Linked DNA regions of Tribolium castaneum. The protein of the gene in region 1 purifies or fractionates together with the protein of each later gene. This does not show direct contact. Links are inferred from orthologs where the notes say so. Each region holds a gene or a part of one and is shown in the gene's direction. Other genes may lie near its edges.

What was found.
Region 2: the proteins of tonsoku-like protein (region 1) and Mcm6 purify together in Homo sapiens (affinity purification with mass spectrometry; 3 studies listed by BioGRID and IntAct, with this or other methods). This does not show direct contact. The link is inferred for Tribolium castaneum from reciprocal best matches to the Homo sapiens genes TONSL and MCM6.
Region 3: the proteins of tonsoku-like protein (region 1) and Ssrp purify together in Homo sapiens (affinity purification with mass spectrometry; 5 studies listed by BioGRID and IntAct, counting the BioPlex papers as one, with this or other methods). This does not show direct contact. The link is inferred for Tribolium castaneum from reciprocal best matches to the Homo sapiens genes TONSL and SSRP1.

Annotation. Positions count from the first base shown.
Region 1 is NC_087394.1:23,964,853-23,969,862, forward strand, and holds the start of tonsoku-like protein, read left to right. Parts: upstream 1-1,839; 5' UTR 1,840-1,974; coding exon 1,975-1,987; intron 1,988-2,043; coding exon 2,044-2,301; intron 2,302-2,350; coding exon 2,351-2,510; intron 2,511-2,563; coding exon 2,564-2,820; intron 2,821-2,872; coding exon 2,873-3,043; intron 3,044-3,094; coding exon 3,095-3,697; intron 3,698-5,010. Other genes in the region: uncharacterized protein HPS4, read right to left, coding at 364-589, 643-737, 787-1,014, 1,066-1,300, 1,349-1,356. UniProt on the Homo sapiens protein: Component of the MMS22L-TONSL complex, a complex that promotes homologous recombination-mediated repair of double-strand breaks (DSBs) at stalled or collapsed replication forks.
Region 2 is NC_087400.1:6,015,080-6,020,188, reverse strand, and holds the start of Mcm6 (DNA replication licensing factor Mcm6), read left to right. Parts: upstream 1-2,132; 5' UTR 2,133-2,241; coding exon 2,242-2,333; intron 2,334-2,390; coding exon 2,391-2,799; intron 2,800-2,851; coding exon 2,852-3,043; intron 3,044-3,143; coding exon 3,144-3,573; intron 3,574-5,109. UniProt on the Homo sapiens protein: Acts as a component of the MCM2-7 complex (MCM complex) which is the replicative helicase essential for 'once per cell cycle' DNA replication initiation and elongation in eukaryotic cells.
Region 3 is NC_087395.1:25,956,888-25,961,793, reverse strand, and holds Ssrp (FACT complex subunit Ssrp1), read left to right. Parts: upstream 1-1,786; 5' UTR 1,787-1,946; coding exon 1,947-1,997; intron 1,998-2,046; coding exon 2,047-2,448; intron 2,449-2,660; coding exon 2,661-2,839; intron 2,840-2,887; coding exon 2,888-3,127; intron 3,128-3,181; coding exon 3,182-3,602; intron 3,603-3,652; coding exon 3,653-4,498; 3' UTR 4,499-4,527; downstream 4,528-4,906. Other genes in the region: uncharacterized protein LOC661743, read right to left, coding at 795-832; tRNA pseudouridine synthase-like 1, read left to right, coding at 4,736-4,803, 4,853-4,906. UniProt on the Homo sapiens protein: Component of the FACT complex, a general chromatin factor that acts to reorganize nucleosomes. The FACT complex is involved in multiple processes that require DNA as a template such as mRNA elongation, DNA replication and DNA repair.

The DNA of each region.
Region 1 (5,010 bases):
ATTTTGTGGATTGTGTGAAAATTTTTCAAATATCTGTCAGGTGGTCTGTCAGCCTTCTGCAATGAGAGGTGGTAAAGTCACGATTTCTTCCTTTCGAAGTGATTATCTTGCTACGATATTTTCAATTTCCATTAAAACATAAAACAGATAAGATAAATTGCCAGTGCCTTTAAGTAAGAATTTCGAAACTGAAATAGTAAAAAAATCCACGACGTTTTAAGAAATTGAAATTAAAATTTCATTAAGATCAGATAAACATTCAAAAACCATAGCAGCTGTCGTCCCTAACGGGGCTTCCTCTGTAGCCATGTAAGGGAAACTTCCTTAAATCCCCTACCTTAAATTTAATTATTAATGACAAACCTTTTTAATACTTTTGCTGCTCAGGTACTGGAAAATACTGCGACTCCTTGTCGCCTCCTCGTGCAATTTGTAATATTCTTTACTCGAAATGTATACTTGCAGCAGTTGGACGCCTAGAGGTAGCTCAAAATTGACGCTAGGTGTCTCTGCCGGGCATTTAATTCGGTACGGATCCGTTAATACAATTCGTTTCGTTATGTCTGAACTCAGCTGAGTTGCTACGACCCTACAACCAAAATACAATAATCAAAATAACAGTTCCCCGTAATTTACAATTACTTGTTATGGTACAACAACGTGCCGCCCATGACATAATTGAGTTCTTGGCAACACTGTAGTATTTGTATGGCCTCTAAAAACACATTACTTGCGCTCTGAGGACAAACAATTAGATTAAACGCTCCAAAGATCGATTTTTGCCACCTTTGGTAGTTTCAGCGACGGAGTATAGGAAAAAATATTGCCGCCCAGAAACATGTACTTTAGATAAGTCTCGAATAATTGATACAGTTTTGCGGAGAGTTTCGCGCTGTTGTCGTACAACTTCGACATGATTTCAATGTCCTGGTGGAAGAAGCTTATCAGTGAAGACATTGTGTTGGCCCTATGTTCCAGTAACCAATCCGCAATGTTGCGATCGGTGCCTACGGCCTTGGCACACCACCAAATTAAACAAAATTACGCGAAAGACAAGCAACAAACCATCAGATACCGCCCATACTCCTTAATAAAAAATTTGCCGCTCTGTAACGAGACTATTTTCGGGGCGGAAAAAATACTTTTAACGCAATGAACGGTGCCCATTAGCTGGCCACACAAAGCCGTTTTTTGCTGGTCTGACACCCACGTTGGGTGGAAATACAAAATTGCGCTCGCAGGGTCGTCTTCTTCTTTCTGGAGCATCTGAGAGTCATAGACTAGGATTATCATCATTTCCCTGTAAACGGTCGGTTATCTGGTTATCAGAGACTGTGGCAATACTCACTTTGCCATTTTCTTGTGAATTTTTCACTCAATATAAACACAAGACTTTTTATTGATGTTTACACAACTGTGACATAACCTCACTTTTCGCAAGTAAACAAATACCTGACAAGTTATGTAATAATTCCTTAATTGACTTGTAACGTTACCTACGCGTTAAATCATGTTTTTGTCCGGGTTTTTGAAAAACTGGTGATTGATTAAAACAATAAAAACACTGATACGCCACTGGAAATGTCCAAAATACCTGTACAGGACCGCCAGTACCGCCACACCTGAATCCAAAAAAAAAAGTAAAAAACCCTACATCATTTTATAGAAAATCGTATTTTATGTATAATAAGAGGCTTAATTCTTGTTTTTATTCAAGCCGTAAAGGTTCTGTGAAAATGGGACTTAAAAAAAACAAGTTTTATGCATATTTCTGTTTCCAAGCCAAGGTGCGTAGCAATGTTGTGCTGGTCGACTATAATTTTCAAACGATAACCTTTTGCGTTGCTATCATTACCGGCAAACTTTGACAGTGACAGCTGTTTTGGAGGGAAAGGTATTTGTCAAAAAGGCAAACATGCATAAAAATGATCATCATGTGTTTATGTACTTGAGTCACTATTAATAACAGAAAAAATGGACGAACAAAGTGGGTTTCCTGTTTTTAATTTATTATAAACCAACAAACACCTTATTTAATTACAGAACTTTTGAAACGGAGAAATAAAGCCCTCCGAGAAAACAATGAAGGGGTCCTTATCAGCGTTTGCACCGACTTGGCTAATTTATACGTCGACAAAGGCAGGTTTGACTTTGCTATAGAGGAGTACACCACTGTTGCAAACATTTACAAGAAACAAAACAAGCAATTGGAGTATGCTGTAGTCAGTAGAGGCATAGGTGAGGCCTATTTGGGCTTACAAAAGTTTGATAAAGCCTTGAAACTCCAAAAAATCTACTTAGGTAAGTCGTTACGTTGGTAGTATAGAAACGAGCCACTTACCTGGCATAGATATTGCAAGGGAATTGAAAAATAAGCTGGAGGAACAACGTGCCCTTGCCACCATTGGCCACACTTACCTCACCACCTACCTAGATTCACCCGAACCCGACAAAAACAACCTAAACCTGGCCAATAAATTTTTCATGAAGAGTTTAGTAGTGTCACAGAGGTGCTTATTTACAATTAAACGAGTTATTTTCTTAGTTTGATGAATGGTTTTAGTTTAGTTGGGGAGGCGAGTAAACTGGAAATTGCAGACATGTGTGCGCGCCTTTATTGCAATTTAGGCTTAGTCCAGGACTCTCTCGGTAATTACGACAAAGCTTTGGAACTTTTTACCAAGTCTATAAACCAGTGCAAGGCTCACGACTTGTACGAGCAGCTGCAAAGGGGCTACATGTCCCTATCGTCCCTTTTGGTCAAAAAGGGGGACAGTAAGGCGGCCCTTCAACAGTGTAATTTGGCCGCTGAGACTGCAAGTGAGTAACACAAAAAGGGGGCTCAAGAGTTGAAATAATTACAATTTGTTAGAAAAATTACGGAATAAGGCTGTTCTTTTGGCTGGGATTTTTTTGAGCAAGTCTGAGATTCTCTTAAAGTTGGGGGATTTACACGGGGCCAAGAACGCCCTCCACAAGGCGTACAAACTTAACACGCCGGATGTCAAGGAGCGGAAAACGATAGAAAATAATTTGAAAGTTGGTGAGTAAAATAACACAAAAAAATAATTTCTTGTGATCGTGATTATTTTAGTCGCTTCAATGTGTTACAACCAGGATAAGCTTTTGGTCACTGATAGCACTGACTATCCTACCTTAAAGAAATTGTACGAAAAGATGGGCGATGGCGCATGCCATTTGAAACTCTACACCAAAGCGCTCGATTATTACAAAAAAATGATGGAGACGGCGGAAAAGGCCGAAATGACCGGTCCGGACCTGGCTTCGTGTTATTACAGTCTGGCGGAGACTTACAAAGACAACGGCCAGTTTGAGGAAGCTGTTGAGTATTTCGAGAAAGAGTTGGTTCTTTGCAAGAATTTGAAGGACAGTTTGAATACTTTGAGCAATATTGCGGATACAAAAGAAGCAGCAAATGAGCCGATTAGTGAAGTTAGAGCTGTCTATAGCCGAGCTATAGAGAGTTGTCAAAGGGAAGGGAACGTACATGAGGAAGGCCGAATGTTAAAACGCCAAATTCTGTATTTGAGGCGACAAAAACAACATTCGGAAGCGTTCAATTTGGAGCAGAGCTTGGCAAAATTGGATTTTCACAGTTCGGACAGTGAGGGCGAAAGCTCCGACGCTCAGACCGAGTCTGTGGTGGGAGCGGAAATCGACTTGGAAGCTATCACAGGTGAAACACTTTTTTTATAATACCTAATAATTATAAACGACCTATTTGATCCAGAGGCAGCCAACCAAGTTATTTTATTTTAAATTAATGTAAACATAAATAATTAAATAATAAGACCATATTTAAAGTTGGAAAGCACCAATAATCTTTTCGAAGTTTAAAATTGAAAATATCGTAGCTGGAAAATAAGACCTCTACAAGCAAGTTGACATATTCCCTAAATCGTAATTCTATCAATCTATCAAATTGCAAGATTTTTTACGTTAAACGTCCTGAAGTAATTGATTGGAATAAAATTTAACGACGTTAGGACAGCTTTCTTAACAAAAAGACGAGTTGCAACGTTTCGTTCATATAATAAACTTCATCAGGCTAAAATTATACATAAAAATACAATATAACCACAATTAATTACATCAATTGGGAAATTTAATTTGATTTTTTGGAGTTATTTCCTTATGGTTGAATGTTTCTAACGTAAAATGACCGGCGGAATCCAAATCTGCAAGAATCAGATCGCTACGGCCAACCGTTCGGAAGATATCATCAAAACTATAGTCTCGTCACAAAAATGTCTCAACTAAACTTACGTCATTATCGGTCAATTTTTTGAAGTTAGTTTCCTATGATTGAGTGTTTCTAACGTAAAATGACCGGCGGAATCAAAATCTGCAAGAATCAGTTCGCTACGGCTAACCGTTCCGAAAATATCATCAAAAATATAGTCTCATTACAAAAATGTCTCAACTAAACTCAGGTCATTATCTGTCAATTTTTTGGAGTCATTGCCTTATGATTGAGTGTTTCTAACGTAAAATGACCGGCGGAATCCAAATCTGCAAGAATCAGATCGCTACGGCTAACCGTTCGAAAGATATCATCAAAACTATAGTCTCGTTACAAAAATGTCTTAACTAAACTCACGTCATTATCTGTCAATTTTTTGGAGTCATTGCCTTATGATTGAGTGTTTCTAACGTAAAATGACCGGCGGAATCCAAATCTGCAAGAATCAGATCGCTACGGCTAACTGTTTTTTGTTAATTTTGTATGTAATTAATTGTGGTGATCTAGGGTGGTGATACATTAATGGTGGTACATTAATAGCTAATGTAATTCATAGTTTCAACGAGAAATCAATCATTATAGGCATTGGCAACTTATTTTATATATTACACATGTTTTAACGGAAAATATCGTTCTTTTTAAAATTCCCTGCGATGAAAAATAAGCGAGATAATTGCTTCGAAAGGAAGAAATCGTGACGTCACAACCGCCTCTTATCACTGAACCCTCTGAGTCACCAAAAACCT
Region 2 (5,109 bases), on another chromosome or scaffold:
TTATATAAAGTGCGAAGTGAAAATAGTCGTTTGATGAATGTTAGGTTTATTTAGTAAGTCATGGCAGGGTATATTCGAAGACTAACTGTTTGAACTAAGCAATTAGGCGAAAATAGATCACACTGAGGGATTCCTACATCATCAATTTTGTTCCACCCTGTAATCAAACAATTAAGACAATCAAACTAATCAAACTATATTTGAAATTGGCGCCGTGTGACGCACACGCATCCTAAATGATTTACTAAAAACTTACTACTTAAAAAAATATTAAATTATACTTAGATTCATGAATGTGATACCTAAACCCTCCATATCGCACAATGTCACATATTTATGGGTCTAGTGAGTTGTTGACGTAATATTAATAAAATTATCAACGTTGTTTGTAAGTAGACAATCAAAATTAAGGTTCAGATATATTTGTATGTTGTTCGAGCAATGTTGTATCAATAAATAACAATAACACGAGGACTATGTTTAATAATTATTTACAATAGGATTTGTTAACATTTTTAATGTAACTCAGTGTAAAGTTTATTAAATAAAGGTTTACCAAAACGTGCCTGTTTTAATTATTTATACAGAGTGTCCGTTTTTCGACCTCCATCTGTTATTATAAGAATACGAGGTTTATAATTATTATTAATTTTTTTATAATTAAACAAAACAGAAATTTTTAATTTTAATTTTTTCAAGGGAAAGCTAAAAACTAGACGTTTTTAAATAGGAAGTTCCAAGGCGTTCTTCCTGACTGCGTTTCAAACACTCAACTTTGGTTTTTCTTGGAAAGGTATATTCGATTTTTGTATTTTTGAAAAGTCTTTTTATTTCTGATTACAACGATGTATCACATGATATGATCGAATTTTACATGGTGATCAAAATGGAGAAAAAAAGCTTTTTTGCGAAGAGTGCTTTGGGGAAGACGTCAACAATTTTGTTTTTAAGCTAACTAGATTTTAGAGGTTTAATTCAATTTGGATCTGAAAGTTTCACATTTCCGCCAAGCTTACTTATTTAAAAACTAAGACATGATAAGCTACAATTTTACTCCTAAAGTTATAAATACTTTGCTCGCATGTTTGATAGAACTGTCAAAATATAGTTTGTTAAACATCATTCTTGACGTTTTTTCCAAAGCACTCTTTGCAAAAACGCTTTTTTCTTAATTTTAATTATCATGTAAGATTCATTCATATTATGTAATACATCGTTGTAATCAGGAATAAAAAAAACTTTTCACAAATACAAATGTTAAAAATGGTGTTTATAAGAAAAATCAAAGCAATTGGCTTTGAGAAAATCGCAAAATTACCACTAGTTTTTTAGAGTTATAATTTTTTTAATTTTATCTATTTCTGCCTTTATTTGGAATTTTCTTGAAAATTATTAGCCAAAGAACAATGTTTTTTTTTTAAAAGATAGATAATTGTAAGAGCTTTCCAACGCTAATAAACTTCCATAAGGTTATCTCGAATAGTTCGAAAGTTACTACATGAAAAATATTTTCGTTTTCCGACAAAAATCTCGAAAAAATGGGAAAAAAACTTTAAAATATCGAACCTATTGACTTTTTTGTACTTTCAACAACTCCGTGGGTTATGTAAAGGCATAGAAAAGTTTATAAAATTTTGCTAGTGAGTTAATTTTTTTTAATTTTTGAAAAGGTAAGTGCCTCGATTATTAAATTTTAAGCAGAAAATTTCAAAATATTGTGAAAAGCTGGTAGAATACATAAAACCAGCCGTAGAATTCACTGAATCAAACCGTTTTGCTATACGACTTTTGTCTTTATGATCAAAATCCAGAACAGCTTTGAATTTTGACGAAAAAATAGATTATTGTAAGCGATATCTGATTTTGCTCTAGATTTTATAAAAAAAAAGCAAAAAAAAGTTTCCCATTTTCATTTTTTTAATAAGCGTTTTTTTCCTTCGTGATTGATAAATTAGTGCAAACTGAGAGAAAGAAATGTAATCTAAATAGATAATTACCGTTCGAAATTCTTGAATATTTATGATAGAGTGGCGGTTTCAGACCATAAGTTAAATTTTCCGCTAATTTGGTAGTTTGAAAAACATTTCGCTAGAGGCCGCTTTGTTAGTTACTTCCATCGGTAACAGAGATACCCGTCTGGCGGGTAAAAATGTATGGTTATGTTCGTAGTCACTTTCCCGCCTTTTTTGCGTTATTGTTTACTCTGTTTTTCCCGAATTTTTCGTTCTAAATCGCTAAAACATGGATGTAGCCAACGTCCAGGTCGGCCAGAGGCAACACCAGGATGAAATCGGTGTCAGGTGCCAGAAATTATTCCAGGATTTCTTAGAAGAGTAAGTACCCCCTTACCAACCCCCCAATTGGTATTATCACACATGAGGCGCCCCCAGATTTAAAGAGGACGGCGAAATCAAGTATTTGGAGCCGGCTAAGGAGCTCCTCAACCAAGAGCGCAGCACTATTGAAGTCAGTTTTGAAGATTTAGAGAAATATAACCAAAATCTTGCAACGACCGTTATCGAGGAGTATTACCGGATTTACCCTTATCTTTGCCAAGCCGTCTCTAATTTCGTTAAAGACCGCAGCGATTTGAAAAAAGATAAAGAGTGTTATATCAGCTTTGTTGATGTTCCAACAAGACACAAAGTACGAGAATTGAAAACTGAGAAAGTTGGGACTTTGATTCGGATCTCAGGACAGGTTATCAGGACTCACCCTGTACACCCTGAACTGATTTTGGGGACTTTCGTCTGTTTGGATTGCCAAACTGTCATTAAAGATGTTGAGCAACAATTTAAGGTAGATTTTTTTGTTTTTGTTTTAAGAGCTGTTTATTAATCTAAATTCACAGTTTACTAATCCGACGATTTGTCGCAACCCTGTTTGCAATAACAGGAGACGCTTTATGCTAGATGTGGACAAGTCCCTATTTGTGGACTTCCAGAAAGTCCGGATACAGGAAACTCAAGCCGAGTTGCCAAGGGGGTGCATTCCGAGGTGTGTTGAGGTGATTTTAAGAGCCGAAAATGTGGAAACAGTCCAGGTAACAATTTTTCACCAAAAAATAAGTTGGCTACATTGATGGTCATGTCAGTCATTGTAGCCAACTTAATTTCATGTTACTAAACAAATGATTGAAAAAGGCCGGCGATCGTTATGACTTCACGGGGACTCTCATCGTGGTCCCGGACGTGGGGGCTTTGGCTCTTCCTGGGGCGAAGGCTCAGATCAACTCGCGTCACAAGGGTGGTGACGATACTGAAGGGGTTAGGGGTCTCAAAGCCCTAGGAGTGCGTGATCTTCATTACAGAATGGCGTTTCTCGCGTGTAGTGTTCAGCCCACTAACCCCAAATTTGGGGGTATTGAGATGCCTCTTAATGAGATTACTCCCGAAATTATGCGACAGCAGATGACAGAGGGCGAGTGGAATCACATGTATGAGATGAGCCACGACAGGAATTTGTATCAGAATCTCATCAATAGTTTATTTCCGAGTATTCACGGGAATGAGGAGGTCAAAAGGGGGATACTTTTGATGCTGTTTGGGGGAGTTTCCAAGACGACAGTTGAAGGTTGGTTTATTGCTAACTTTGTTCTAATCTGACTTGTCTTTATATCTTATGGACGCTAAGTGTTATTTCTTTTGCTAGAAAATTCTGAAAAAAATTAAATAACATTTACTATTTCTGTTGTTCTGAATGCAAAAAACTAGGAACAAAACAAGTCGAAACAACTCATTTCACAGATTATTTTTGCATAAGTTGAGGATTTTTTTATTAAGGGCAACAGTCCTTAAAAAATAAAAGAAGTCGCAGAAACTGTTGTCAACAAGTACAAAATTAAAACTTGTTCTTTTTGTTTCTATCAACAGAAAAGGACCAATTATTAAAAAAGACAGATTATTGTGAAAAAATTGGATTTTTTTTTAAATATCAACGATTCTTATTGAATAATATGTTAAATAAAAAAATAAGTTGAAAATTAAATTTTACAGCATTTTTGCAAGATTTTGTAACATTTTTACTTAACATTTCGCTAATATGTGAAATAAAATCAATAAAAAAAAAGACCAGTTATTAAATGAATGCTAGACTGCAGTTATTCCTGTAAGGAAAGTGGTTGTGTTACAAATATCACGTTGCATCTTAAATAAATACATATTTTTGCGCCTGTAAATGCAACCAGCAATACATCTAATATAAAGACTGCTCTAAATTTGTCAAATTGATATAATAATGAACTAAATAAGAATGAGGTAAAAAATGTTTATTAGAAAATGTAACGAATAGAGGAATTATTGGTTTTGAAATCAAATACAACACAAAAATCAATTTTTCTCACTTAACGGTAAATAACAAAAAAAAATACACTTACCTTTGTAGCATCTTTTTCTGTTGCAGTTTGTAGCAAGACATTAAAAATAAATTAAAAACAAAATAAACGCAAAAATGAGAAAACGAAATAATTATAATTCTGAATTAAACTAATTTGAATTAAGTTGACATTTATTTAACTTTAACTTTTCTAAAAATACTATTGCAGTATTCTATTTCATTAGCACACACTAACCGAAATCGGCACGCACTTTTCAACGATTTTGAAATTTTTAAACCGCAAAATTCTTTATTTATGTTATGAGGCGTCTGCATGCCACGACATCAAGTAACAAACTGAATAAGATTAAACGGCACAATAATAATTGTATAAAAATATGGATACAACGTTACAAAAAAAATCTGTGATATAAGAATTGTTACAAAGTGGGAAACAAACTGATTCATTGATCTTTATTACGATTACGTCATGTAACGTATTTTTGAATCGCTGAAATTCATTTCTGAAGCAAATAATTTCAGTCAACAGTTCGTAATTTCGTTATTCTGAAAAATACACTATTACAGAACCACCTCTAAGGAGAATTCTATCATTTGTAGTGTATTGAGACAAAATTCTATTTGTGCTTTCTGGAAATATTATGTCACGAAATTTTTTGGCTTTAAATATTTTTAACGATATTCTAGAATATTTGATAGGTTACTTAATAATGTCCGTTAATGCATCTTTACAAAAAGTAAATGTGTAATAGGTGGAAACTAATCACCAAAGAA
Region 3 (4,906 bases), on another chromosome or scaffold:
TTGCAAGTTCTGAAGATTTTAGACTAAAAGTCAAGTTTTAAATCAACTATCATAAATCATAAAATTCATAAAAATAAGGTAGATACAGGGTGTTGTCTGTCAAACAGTCAAGGCCAACTTAATACAAGGTGTCAAAGTGTCAAAGCCAACTGTCACACAAACGCACAAAACAATGCGAAAATGGAATAAATCCCCAACAAAATCAGGTCAAGTCTTGCATTTATGATTAATTAAATTTTAACAAAAGTCGATTTTATTCAATGAGCTATTTTTAGCAACATTCACATTCTTCACGCCATGACCCCCAATATTTACTTTCTTTGTATCTCATAAATTTCATCCTACTTTATTTAAAGACTCCCACTGAGCCACCCTTTGGACTCATCCAATATACTCATACTTTCGACGAATTAGCTATAATTCAGCAAATATCTTATCACTTTATCAATTTATCGTTTCCTCTAACCCGAATTTCCTGGATTTTTTTCCTCAAAAACGTAAAAATTAGCTAGGAAAAAGAGTGGTATATAGGTTTTTGGTGGAGATTGAGGTTAGTTTGCCCGGATCGATAAGATATCAACAGTGGAACAGCTGAGCATCGCGGAGGGGATTGCCAGGCTACCGGGATCAATAACAATAATAAACCAAACAATTGCAAAACGGAAAAACGGCCTACTTTTCATCCACATGCATAAAAGATTTGGCAAAAATTTACAAACGCGCCTTCTCCTCGTGGTCTATTTTTACAGAGGTGTTAAAAAGCGTCAAGGTCGCCATTTCTCAAAATATCTCACCTTTTGGGTTTCCAACGTCGCTTTAAGACGCCCAGCATTTTCCAAACTACATACAAGACGAGCAAATGGAAGAGGAGAATTTTTCAGGTCACAAAACAGCACTCGTTGCCATTCGCGCGTTTTGTTTTTTTCTTACATAGCGAATGAAAACGTTCGTAAAACTGAAACGCGCTGAATTTTTTTTTCAGCAACTCGCGTTATTACGAGACACTTTACACGACCACTGCACTCGTCGAGTGCCTCTCCTGAAATCAAGATGCTGATGCTCAAAATAAACAAGTTGGGGTCATATGACCGGAATGGCGGCACCGGATTGGCGGATCCGGTGAATGCCGGGCTTTGACAGCCAACTCCGGTATTGCTGTCATTGACGGAAGGAAAAAAGTCATCAACCTGCGATTTTGCCCATTCAAAGCGGAGAAAGGAGTTTTTTAATAATTATTTAAAATATCGTCGTTTTTTATATATTTTTCGGTCCACGCACCTACCATTTTATAAATATTTGAGCACCCATGATTTTATTGATTTGGTTTAATAGAATTTCCAAAAAAAAATCCAAAACCGCGTCAACATTTACGATAATTTCCAAACTTTCAGATAAAAGCGACCACAAATAACTTTTTCTTCATTTTGACTGTTTGTGGTTTCCAGTCGGATTATTTGCGACCACAAGAGCATTTTTTATGTCAAGTGACATTATTATTGAAACTGAATACGCTTTATGCAAAGTAACTCAAGTCGGGCAGAATTTTATTACACCTCATAAATTTAAAAAGTTGTATTTTGGTTTCAGAATGAAAAGAACTAATTTTTGGTTGTGGGCAAAAATAAAACAAAATAAATTTAGCCCTCTCGTTTATTTGTTTATTACAATGAATACTAAGTAATTTACATTTGTAATTACAATAAAATAACAATTTTGAATTTGTAATTTTTTTTAATTGCGTAACGCTGCCAACTTATTTCTAGTGGTTTCGCGGGCTTGTTGTGGCAGCCTGACTTCAAGGCCGAAGTTGCGTCAAATGGCGGCATAACCTGTAAAAAAAATCCAAACAAAAAGAAACACCACAAAAAATACTTGAGCTAAGTTTTTGTGTTTTTATATTGTTTTTTTCGTAAATTAAACCAAACTTTGAGTGAATTTTCCCCAAGATGGATTTCCTGGAATATTCGGACATCTCTGCCGAAGTCAAAGGCTGCATGGTACGTTAGCCCCCATTCCCCCAATTCCCCCTCAATTTCCTCGTTTCAGACCGGCGGTAAACTCAAAATGACCGACCAAAACATCATTTTCAAAAACTCGAAGACGGGCAAAGTCGAGTCAATTTCGGCGTCCGATTTCGAGGCAGTCAATTTCCAGAACTTTGCCGGTTCGTTGGGGATCCGCGTGTTCCTCAAGAACGGCACTTTGCACCGATTTGTCGGGTTTAAGGACGCGGAAAAGGAACGTATCGCCAAATTCTTCTCGAACACTTACAAAATCGACATGCTGGAGAAGGAGTTGAGTCTCAAGGGCTGGAACTGGGGCACAGCCAAGTTCAACGGCTCGGTTTTGAGCTTCGAGGTGGGACATAACAGCGCTTTCGAGATTCCGCTCAATCATGTGTCTCAATGTACGGCGGGGAAGAATGAAATCACGATGGAGTTTCATCAGGTGGGAAGGGGGCGCTTATTTTTATTTCAAACTTTTTACTTTTACCAAGGTTTTAAACACGTTTCTCAGCTTTTTTCTTAAAATTTCGTTAAAACATAACAAAATCACCAAATTGTTTTTAACTGTTACGTTCGAAATTACACGTTTTTTGTTAGAAATCAAACTTTTTTCCCCGTTTTCTGGCCGTTTTGTCAAAAACTAATCGATTTTAGAATGATGACGCCCCTGTAAGCCTCATGGAAATGCGATTTTTCATTCCTTCAAACGAATTAGCCGGAGACGTGGACCCAGTTGAAGCCTTCCAAAAACAAGTCATGAAGAAGGCTTCGGTTATCAGTGTCTCAGGCGACGCTATTGCGATATTTCGGGAGATTCAGTGTCTCACACCACGGTTGGTTTGAAAAACCACAAATAAATTTCCCTAAGAATTTTTTTCTAGTGGTCGTTACGATATTAAAATTTTCCAAACGTTTTTCCAATTGCATGGAAAAACATTCGATTATAAAATCCCAATGTCGACAGTCTTGCGTTTGTTTCTCCTTCCACACAAAGACAACCGGCAGATGTTTTTCGTAGTGAGTCTTGATCCACCCATCAAACAGGGCCAAACCAGGTATCATTTTTTGGTCTTGTTATTTGGTCAAGAAGAGGAGACTTCGATCGAATTACCCTTTACCGAGTAATTAATTAATTAATTATTAGGCCAAAATTTTTTCCTAATTAATAATTCCAGTGAGGAACTCAAGGACAAGTATGAGGGCAAGCTGGATAAGGAGTTATCAGGCCCCACTTACGAGGTCTTAGGCAAAGTCATGAAGGTTATAATTAATCGAAAACTGACCGGCCCGGGGGGCTTTGTCGGGCATTCAGGGACCCCAGCTATCGGCTGTTCGTTCAAGGCAGCCGCTGGTTACTTGTACCCCCTTGAACGGGGCTTCATGTACGTCCACAAGCCCCCAATTCACATTCGTTTCGAGGAAGTGGCTTCTGTGAATTTCGCCCGAGGTGGGGGAAGTACCCGTTCGTTTGATTTCGAAATTGAGCTCAAATCCGGGACTGTCCACACCTTTAGCAGCATTGAGAAGGAAGAATACAACAAATTGTTTGATTTCATTACCACCAAGAAACTGAATATCAAAAATCGGGGCAAAAACGTAACAATTTCACTCGTTTTGGTTTGGTTTAATTTGATTGGTTCTTTCAGGATAAAGGGGGCTATAATGACGATTTTGGCGATTCGGATAATGAGGCGGCCCCTGATGCCTACTTGGAGAGGGTTAAGGCCGAGGCACAAGAACGTGATGAAGATGATGACGATGGTCCAAGTGAAGATGAGAGTACTGATGAAGATTTCAAGCCAACTCAGGATGAGAGTGACGTTGCTGAAGAGTTTGATTCAAGTCCGAGCTCAACGTCGTCCGAAGACGAAGAGAAAGGTTCCGGTGATGAACATAAGAAGAAGCACAAAAAAGAGAAGAAGGAGAAGAAAGAAAAGAAGAAACCGGCTAAGACAGTGTCGGAGAAACCGCGCCAAAAGCGGGCCAAGAAATCAAAGGACGAAAATAAACCGAAAAGACCATCGACGGCGTTCATGCTATGGTTAAATGAGATGAGGGATAAAATCAAGGCAGATAATCCCGGGATTAAAATCACCGAAATTGCAAAGAAAGGTGGAGAGATGTGGAAGGAATTGAAGGATAAGTCTGAGTGGGAGGGGAAAGCGGCCAAAGCCAAAGAGGAGTACAACAAGGCCATGAAGGAGTATGAAGCTTCAGGGGGTTCAAAATCGGAAGATAAAAAGTCAAGTGAGAAAAAAGCACCAGCAAAGAAGAAAACCTCTTCTATGCCTTCCGTCAAACCCAGTCAAGTCAAAAGTCGGGAATTTATCGAAGACGACGACTCGAGTAGCGACAGTGATGATGATAAAGGCAAGAAAAGGAAGGGTTCCGATAGCGAACGCGGAAAACCCAAAGACAAGAAAAAGAAGAATAAATCCGAAAGCGAGGAGAGCACACCCGCGTCAAGTGACGCCAATTCCGATAGCGATTAAGTTTCTATTTAATAAATATGTTTAACAAACACCCGGCTTTATTTATTACATAACCTTAATCTTACATAACCTTAATTTCGCAAAAAACGCTATAATCGGCGCAAATTACATTGAATCGCCCTTTGATGCTTACTGTGCATGTGGGGGCCCCTTGCTTGTTTTAATTCGAGATATAAATGGGAAACAGCACGTTATTTACCATTATTTTTGTGACATAACCTCGCTTTAATAACAGCGATGTATTTCACGAAAATGGCTCTGAATCGCTACTTGCTCCACTTTTCGTACATCGGGACCCCTTTCATGTATTTGCTTGCTTCAGTCACGGTCGCGGCTCTTTCATGTTTTTTTTAGGGGGGCTCAGAGGCAAGTCACCGGTCGAATGCCCCGGCCCGATGACCCCTCCAC